2 linked regions of the Arabidopsis thaliana genome follow. The protein of the gene in region 1 interacts with the protein of each later gene in a pairwise test. Each region holds a gene or a part of one and is shown in the gene's direction. Other genes may lie near its edges. The genes, in order: MT2A and AT5G10350.

What was found.
Region 2: the proteins of MT2A (region 1) and AT5G10350 interact in a protein complementation assay, tested with the Arabidopsis thaliana proteins (one study listed by BioGRID).

Annotation. Positions count from the first base shown.
Region 1 is NC_003074.8:2,888,731-2,892,691, reverse strand, and holds MT2A (metallothionein 2A), read left to right. Parts: upstream 1-2,117; 5' UTR 2,118-2,503; coding exon 2,504-2,568; intron 2,569-2,774; coding exon 2,775-2,955; 3' UTR 2,956-3,286; downstream 3,287-3,961. Other genes in the region: PLL3 (pol-like 3), read left to right, coding at 1-617, 694-807, 991-1,255, 1,342-1,457. UniProt on the Arabidopsis thaliana protein: Metallothioneins have a high content of cysteine residues that bind various heavy metals. Functions as a metal chelator of copper (Cu) and zinc (Zn). Plays a role in Cu homeostasis, specifically in the remobilization of Cu from senescing leaves.
Region 2 is NC_003076.8:3,254,514-3,259,774, reverse strand, and holds AT5G10350 (RNA-binding (RRM/RBD/RNP motifs) family protein), read left to right. Parts: upstream 1-1,963; 5' UTR 1,964-2,028; coding exon 2,029-2,139; intron 2,140-2,229; coding exon 2,230-2,332; intron 2,333-2,474; coding exon 2,475-2,545; exon of another isoform or gene 2,546-3,561; coding exon 3,562-3,753; intron 3,754-3,835; coding exon 3,836-3,963; coding exon of another isoform or gene 3,964-3,967; exon of another isoform or gene 3,968-4,052; coding exon 4,053-4,101; 3' UTR 4,102-4,539; downstream 4,540-5,261. Other genes in the region: EMB3010 (Ribosomal protein S6e), read left to right, coding at 86-143, 237-345, 443-715, 803-1,041; AT5G10340 (F-box family protein), read right to left, coding at 4,730-5,261. UniProt on the Arabidopsis thaliana protein: Involved in the 3'-end formation of mRNA precursors (pre-mRNA) by the addition of a poly(A) tail of 200-250 nt to the upstream cleavage product.

The DNA of each region.
Region 1 (3,961 bases):
CAGATCCACCGGATTATCTTATCAAAAATCTCTACACTGCCGTGCTCAGAGAGCTCAAAGGGTTACTATGGATCGACAAAGGTGAATCATATAATAGAAACGGCGAGTCCAACATCGAGAAACAGAGTACAGTCGAGCATGCATCCGATTCGGATCAAGAAAACTGCCCTGTGATGAATGGAAACGATGTTGCTTGTGGATCAAGAAACATTACGAGTGACGTGAAGAAGTTGCAATGGAGGTGCGAGTGGGAGCATAACTCAAGCAACAAGTCTAATAATATTAACCACAAAGACGTTCTTAGAGCTCTTCAACAAGCGTTGGAGAAAACAGAAGAATCGTTTGATCTGATGGTTAATGAGAATCCAGAATTAGCCTTGATGGGATCCTGCGTTCTTGTGACATTGATGAAAGGAGAAGATGTTTACGTGATGAGCGTTGGAGATAGCCGAGCGGTTCTTGCTCGAAGACCTAATGTCGAGAAAATGAAGATGCAAAAGGAGCTTGAGAGAGTCAAAGAAGAAAGTCCATTAGAGACCTTGTTCATCACCGAAAGAGGACTGAGTCTTCTGGTCCCTGTTCAGCTCAATAAGGAACATAGCACAAGTGTTGAAGAGGTGAATCTTTTTGCGAGTCCTGATTCAGTGTTTTGTTTTGCGAACATTAGACACTAACGATCTTTTGATGTGACAGGAAGTGAGAAGAATCAAGAAGGAACATCCTGATGATATATTAGCGATAGAGAATAATAGAGTGAAAGGTTATCTCAAAGTCACTCGTGCATTTGGCGCTGGATTTCTTAAACAGGTATATATATACTCATGATTTTAATCAGATAGTTTCAAAATTTTGCATGTTTTATAGTTTTTAGGGTTGGATTATTAGGTCTACAAGGTTTGTAGAAATATCAAAATGCAGAAAAATACTATTACAAAACCTGGTTTGTTTTTATTCGATTTGATAATAGTTTTGTTCAATGTCTTTCCTCAGCCAAAATGGAACGAGGCGCTTCTAGAGATGTTCAGAATAGACTACGTCGGAACATCGCCGTACATCACGTGCTCTCCGTCGCTACACCACCATAGACTCTCATCACGTGACAAATTCCTAATCCTCTCATCCGATGGACTATACGAATACTTCTCGAACGAGGAAGCCATCTTCGAGGTTGACTCATTCATCTCAGCCTTCCCTGAAGGCGATCCTGCTCAACATCTCATTCAAGAAGTCCTCCTTAGAGCTGCCAAGAAATATGGTAATACTAAGAACAAAACGCAAACGCACTTAAGATTCGAAACGCAATCTTTGATTAAACTCACGTGCATTTTTTTTTTTTTTTAGGTATGGACTTTCATGAATTGCTAGAGATACCACAAGGAGATCGTCGGAGGTATCATGACGATGTTTCTGTGATTGTGATTTCACTTGAAGGAAGAATTTGGAGATCTTCCATGTGAATACTAATCTTTTGAAGAGACTCTTACTAAAGTAACTTTTAGAATTGATTCAATCTTTTTAGAATAGATTTTTTTTTTTTTTTTTTTTGGATTTCGCTGAGGTTTTACCATTTTGTTACTCAGCATATTTTAACGATGTTGCATTTGTGTCCCATATACGTTATTGTTAGTGAAAAATATAATGTAAGAATAATTTATATAACTATCCTACTAGCAAAGCTAACGCAAATTTTGAACTCGAACTTTAGTTACCGTGAATGAAAATAACAGACTTGAACTTTATAATACTCGTAGTATACGTAATTTTTGCTTTTTGCAGATATGCTTGCCACTAATAAAGTCATAAATTTTATATTTTCATAAACTATAGTTATACACTTTTGACTAAACAAACAAAATCGGTTTAGCAAAAGAAAAAGTTACTTTTCTGATGAACTAGGATAAGGAATTCGGAACTGAATTTTGCTACGTTCTCTCTGGACCACACACACTGAACACCCTTTTAAGATTTTCTCCTTCTCTTTTTCAACGTAATTTATCTTTTGATCAGAAACGACAAAAAAGAAGTCTAACAATATCAAACAATTTTTTTATAGATATTTTTAGATATTTTTCCTGCTAATTTTATCTAGTGTAGACAAACCCAAATATACGATTATTATAAAAACACGAAATACCAAGTGGACGACTGAGGTTAATAGATCTAGCCGTAGAATAAAGATCTGCATGAAAGGCGGTGAGAATCTAAACGGTGATAAGACCATAACACACGGAACATCGGTACGCTCTCGAACGTACAAGAATCGACGACACACAAACACTCCACAATTATTTGAACACTGGACAATTATTGAACCGACGTACGAGAATCAATGCGCTGAGGGTAAAGACGTAAATGAAGAACTAGTTTTGGAGATAAGAGCGGAGAAAGATTGCGACACATGTATGGTCAATATTAATCTCATTTAGCTTATAAATTTGGGAGCTTCCTCTATCATTAATTTTCATTCATAAATTTTTCTTCAATTTGAATTTTCTCGAGAAAAATGTCTTGCTGTGGAGGAAACTGCGGATGTGGATCTGGCTGCAAGTGCGGCAACGGTTGTGGAGGGTAAGTCTCCAACGTCTCGTTTGTATTTATATTTTCCGGTGAAATCGTTGCATGCAAGTATGCAACAACTGTGAATCGATGATGATATCTTGTTTTGATGAATGGTTTCTTGGAGATTTTTCTTGTAAAAAGATACAACTCTTTTGAATTTACACGATCTCTGTTTTCATAGGATACTGATGGGTTTTTTCTTTCGATTGTTGCAGTTGCAAAATGTACCCTGACTTGGGATTCTCCGGCGAGACAACCACAACTGAGACTTTTGTCTTGGGCGTTGCACCGGCGATGAAGAATCAGTACGAGGCTTCAGGGGAGAGTAACAACGCTGAGAACGATGCTTGCAAGTGTGGATCTGACTGCAAGTGTGATCCTTGCACCTGCAAGTGAAGAAGCCTTTTTAAATAAGCAGAGATAATCGAGTCTCTTTAATTAATTAAGTTATTCAATAAGTAAACCATATATAGGATGGTGTTTTTAGGTTTGGTTTATGTGTAATAATGGCTTCAGCTTATCTTTTAGCCGATCATTGTCTTTTGTGTTTGTTTTGATCATATCTTTTAGATGTCTAGCAACTCTGCCATGTGATGAGTTTGTACTTCCAGTGGAATGATAATAATATTATAGTTTTAAATCTCTTTGTTCGTTGGGTTTTCTTCATTGGTCCTCCATTGTTTCTAAATTTTGAAGAATTAATTTTTTATGGATTTATTTGGCTTGGTTAATGAGTTCGAAAATTTTATGGATTAATTCTAGAATTTCAAATATGACAAAAATTAATGAATAATTTTTTTTAAAAAAAAGTAAAAACAAAGTGATTTATTCCTTACGTTGGTGAATGAATCCTTCAAATGGTAGTAGCAAGAGCATGCACGACTCCATTGGTTGTAAACACAAATGTCAAACCACTCTACCATTCCCCAAATCTCTCTCTTTTGGCGTTTTTCAATCGCAATTTTCGCACACTGTACTTTTGTGACCTTCTTACCGAACATATGCTCCACCAATACAACTGTCATTTTCCCACCATAATTCACCAAGTTTACATAAAAAAAAACTAGGCCATTTTTCCAAACTTTTCAAAGTTGTCCATAAACTCTTTTCGGAGTCATACCATTGGATCATTGTACAATTACAATCTAGAACACATTCTCTATCACACAATATTTAGATCAAATAAATCAATGCAAATGATAGAAAACTAATTTTACTGTAAAAAAACACAAAAAAGCAATGGTGAAAGACTAAAAACTTGAAGAACCGGGGTTTTGATGGTTCGCCGGTTTTAGCCGGCTTTTGAAATGTGTATTACAAATTTAATATTAAATAACAAATTTTGTATATTACAACTTTTTTTTCTTCAATAACATGCATGCATTATACCGGTTTAAAAATG
Region 2 (5,261 bases), on another chromosome or scaffold:
GATATATAACCAGTTCTGAATCTGAAAATCAACATTGTCGATTTTGGTAAAGATATTGAGTTTCATTTCTGTTGTTTTGATGCAGCCGCGCCTTTTTCGACAAGAGGCTCTCTCAGGAAGTTAGCGGAGATGCTCTAGGCGAGGTGAAATTTTTTCTCCTGGTTCAGTGTTTTTTTCTGATGTCTTGTGAGTTCAGTATACTTAACAGAATTGTGTGTGTTTTGAGCTATTTGCAGGAATTCAAGGGATACGTATTCAAGATCATGGGAGGATGTGACAAGCAAGGTTTCCCAATGAAACAAGGAGTTCTCACTCCAGGGCGTGTCCGTCTTTTGCTTCACCGAGGTACTAGATTCCACCCCATTGATAAAATTATACAGCTTCTCTTTTTTTCATTAATCTTCTGTGTTTTTTATTTATGTGATCTGGTTATTGTGTTTAGGTACTCCTTGTTTTAGAGGACACGGAAGGAGGACTGGAGAGAGGAGACGAAAGTCTGTCCGTGGTTGCATTGTGAGCCCTGACCTGTCTGTTCTTAACTTGGTCATTGTGAAGAAGGGTGTAAGTGATCTTCCCGGGCTTACCGACACTGAGAAGCCAAGAATGAGAGGTCCCAAGAGGGCATCAAAGATCCGCAAGTTGTTTAACCTTGGAAAAGAGGATGATGTGAGGAAGTACGTTAACACTTACCGCCGTACCTTCACAAACAAGAAGGGTAAGAAAATTAGATTCACTTAAAGAGATAATTGAAAACTGTTTATACGATTGATGATTTACTAATATATGAGGCTTCCATGTGCAGGCAAGAAGGTTAGCAAGGCTCCTAAGATCCAGAGGCTTGTGACTCCATTGACCCTCCAGAGGAAGAGAGCTAGAATTGCTGACAAGAAGAAGAGAATCGCCAAGGCTAACTCTGATGCAGCTGATTACCAGAAGCTTCTTGCCTCCAGACTAAAGGAGCAGCGTGATCGCCGTAGTGAAAGTTTGGCCAAGAAGAGGTCTAGACTCTCTTCTGCTCCTGCTAAACCCGTTGCTGCTTAAACTGCCTCAAGATTAAGAAATTTCTTTCTCTCTAGTTTGTTTCTGGTCGTATTTAAGTTGCTCCACAGACATGAGAACGCCATTTTGAACACTATTTTTGGTTTCTGTTTTGTGTCAACTTTTCAAGCCTTTTATTATATCAAAGTTTTGAACCTCTTAGTAGTACGTTTGTTATATTTAGTTCTTATTTATATGCCCGTTTGTTGATAGTAAATGACCAGATGTCTTCATTATTAGATAAACTGATGACCTACCTTTAAAGTGTTTTTTCCAAAAAGTGTAATGTTTTGAACCAAAACTCAATCTCGATTAAACTCTTTTAATATGGAGACCCGTCGCTGAAGACTGACTCCTTTCTTCAAGCTGGTGTTGATCGGAGACTATGGAGTCGGAGAATCGCTTCTACTGTCTCCTTATGCCATCTTCGCCGAAATCCTCTGTTTTACAACAGTGGTAAGTAAAAAACTAAAAAGGTTGGAAGAAGACGAAGAACTTTGCTTAACTGCAATTAAAATTTATTTATTTAACAAATGGCTGTAGATATGTTTTGGGGAAAAGTCATTCTTATCAATACCTTTGGAATAATTTGGATCAAACTGTATCATATTTTTGTGGATAATTTGTCTCTGATATAAATTAATCTGATCCATATTATGCAGTATTATTTCACAGACCTCTTAATTTGGTCCATAAATTTAATTTGATCCATGATATAATTTGATAAATTATTCACAAGCCTGTTTCTTCCATAATGTTTGGGGCCTATGATGGGCCGAATTGAATTTTGAAGAAAAATCAAAACCTTCAGATTCAGTTAGAGTGTTATGATAATGGGCTCTTGTAAGTTTGTAACCGAGGCCCAATACGAGACGACGTCGTTGTTTGCAATCGACCTATCTGGATCGGTAGGAAAAGTGTGCAAGTCGTTTTCATTCACCAAAGCGAAGCTTTATTCGTTTGCTTGAGCTCCGAAGAGTGGAAACAAAAATGGAGGAAGAAGAGCACGAGGTTTACGGTGGAGAAATCCCTGAAGTCGGCGATACGGATGTTCCCGATCCGGATATCGATATGTCTGCAGCCGATGAGGACGCCGTTACGGTCTACTTCTGCTTCGTTCGATTTTGATTTTGTTGTATATCGTGTGTATACATCTGTTTGATTTTTGGTGTTTTGATTTCATGGAATCAGGAGCTTGCTGAGATGAAGAGGAGATTAAAGGAGATGGAGGAAGAAGCTGCTGCGCTACGAGAGATGCAAGCAAAAGTCGAAAAAGAAATGGGAGCTACTCAAGGTTTTGTGACTCTTTCGTTTTTTTTTTGAATTCGTTTGCTCGAGACTATCTTTGAATTTGATATACTAGGAGGAATCTGTTGATTGTGTAGATTACTTTTAGGAAATTGAACTTCTGTTTCTTGCTTAACAATTTGTTTCAGATCCTGCTAGTATGGCTGCAAATCAAGAAGGAAAGGAGGAGGTGGATGCTCGATCAGTTTATGTTGGCAATGTAAGATAGCTTATTTTCTACTTCATGGTATCTCTTCTGTGCTTGAATCATTGTTTCATCTAAACGGCTTTGATCTGTTTGCCAATCTTAGTGTGGATTAGCTTAGGCTGACTATTTTGTTAACTTAAATTTCATCTTTGATAAAAGAACTGCTTGCAATTGTGTCTTAGCTTTGTTCTTTATCCCTTGAGATTACTGTTAGAATCTGTATCAAGAGGCTTTCTCTAAATTTAATGTTGTGAAGTAGGTTCTTTATTGTTTCTAGTTGAAGAGTTTGACCTCTATGTCCTATATAATCGCAGGGTTGTTCTCATAAATGAAGTTCTTAATAGCTCTGGGTTCTCAACTAAGTTTTGTGACTGTTTTGCTAGTTTCCTTGTTGTAGTGTTAAAATCATTCTTCCCGTGCAATTTGATGATAAAAAAGCTATAAAAAAAATGTTGAAAGTAAAAAGAAAAGAGAAGGAAAAAAATTTGAAAAAAAAAAAAAAAGATATAGCAGAAAAATGTGGAGAAAAATATTGCATGAGCTTGAAAAAAAAAAGAAGGATTTCTTGAGAGGAAAAAGGGAGTCTGAGTGAGTTGGGTGGGATTAGAAAGCAAGGTTTCTGTTATCCTTGAGGAGATGGTCTCTGAACTCTGAAGAGCTGGATCAAGATGCCAAGATGCTGGATGCTTTCTAAACAAGACCCAAAGCTCCGCAGGGAGGATACTTGGAGCTAATACAGGTTTGGTTGTTTGCGGATTTCGCGAGAGGCTGCAGTTTGATGCTGGCCTTTTATCATGTATTTTTGAACTCACGCTCATAAAATGAAGACTTTCATAGCGTTTATGTACCATACATAACTTAGGTCTAATGTTAGACATGGAAAATTGCTTTAGAACACACAAGTTTGTCTCTTGGCTTCCCTTAGTGGGGTGGTTAACTTATCTATCTGTTACGTTCTCAGTAAGTCATGGTTTTAGTTGTAATAAGAATGCTTGTGTTGTACTAAGACCTCATTATCCACCCTGCAGGTCGACTATGCCTGTACACCTGAAGAAGTGCAACTACATTTCCAAACATGCGGAACAGTCAACCGGGTAACCATTCTAATGGACAAGTTTGGACAGCCAAAGGGATTTGCTTATGTGGAGTTTGTAGAAGTGGAAGCCGTGCAAGAAGCTCTGCAGCTGAATGAATCAGAGCTTCATGGTCGTCAACTGAAGGTATCTTCTCGTACTAAGACCAATACTGAAGGAAATGGACAGTTCATTGATCTCAACTCTTCTCTTTTGGTTTTCATTTCAGGTCTCGCCTAAGCGAACCAATGTTCCTGGAATGAAACAGTATCATCCTGGGCGTTTCAACCCTTCAATGGGATACCGCTTTCGCAGACCCTTTGTGCCTCCGTATTTTTATTCCCCATATGGATACGGGTAAGTTTAAACTCTGCATATTTACCATCAGTTTATCACAAATGGCTTTCTCTTCTTCGTCTCACGAGACTCGGCAATGCCTCGTGCAGGAAGGCTCCTAGGTTCAGAAGGCCAATGCGGTACATGCCTTACCAATAGAAACCGTACCGGAATAAGAAGAACTATGACAGAGATGATGCCGAGGTCGTCCCTCCATTTCGAGCTTTATATATGAATATGACTTTGCTCGCACCTGAACTTAATTTTGAATCTGTCATGTACGGATGAGATTATAAGCTTTTGTTTCTTTAGATTATGATTATATTTGGTCGATATTACTTTCAGTTTATATCTTTGTTAGTACTTTCTTTCATCCAAAGGGGGCTAAATAAGTATACCAACAAGAAGATTGATGTTACGTAGAGAAGCCTTTGTAAGAAGCTATTATGTTTCCGCAAAAAATCCCTTAGTCAGAAGCTAACCTTTACTAATCAATGATGTATGGTATAATCAAATCCCTTATTCCTTATAGTATTTGTTATCTTTTCGGTTTGGAGAATCGATGATTACAGAGTAAAAAAAAGAATAATGTTTTTTCTTCTCGTCATTAGTACTTTTGATGTATGGTATAATCAAAACATTAAATTTATGAAAATTTGTAATGTGATGTTGATATTGATAAAACATAGTAATTCATAACCCAGTGAGTAAACTAATCAGAAACTAGAATGCTTGGACAAATAACGACCAAAAAAGAATGCTTGGACAAATAACCAATCATTCAAGTCTACAAAATAGAAATTAAACTCGGGAAATAACAAACAACAGTTGCACAGCGATTAGATGTGTAAGGCAAATCATAAGATTTGGTATCTGGATCATGTGTTAGGAATGCATCCCCGTGTGTACTATCATAAAACAATAACTTGTCCTTGTCCAAAACTGCTAGTGGGGTGAATGCGAATATGGCACTAAAGAACAAAGAAGAGGTGATAATGAGGTCTATGGAATATATTTGCTTCCATGTCTTGTGGTCTGAATCATCCAACGACCATATGACTTGGTTGGGCCACTTTTGCTCGGATACGCACAAACGATCACCGAGGTTGCACATGACGATATAATATTCATCAGAGACATTGAGAAAGGGAGCTTTAGAGATGACTTGGAACGTTTCGGAGTGAAGATCCAAAGACAAAACCATGGTTTCGCCCTCGTGTGACAAGGCAGTGAACCAGTGAAGTGACCCGTCTACATAAACAGGATCTTGGGTGTGAAGAATCAGATGAGGGGACGCGGGGAAAACGTACCTCCAAGCG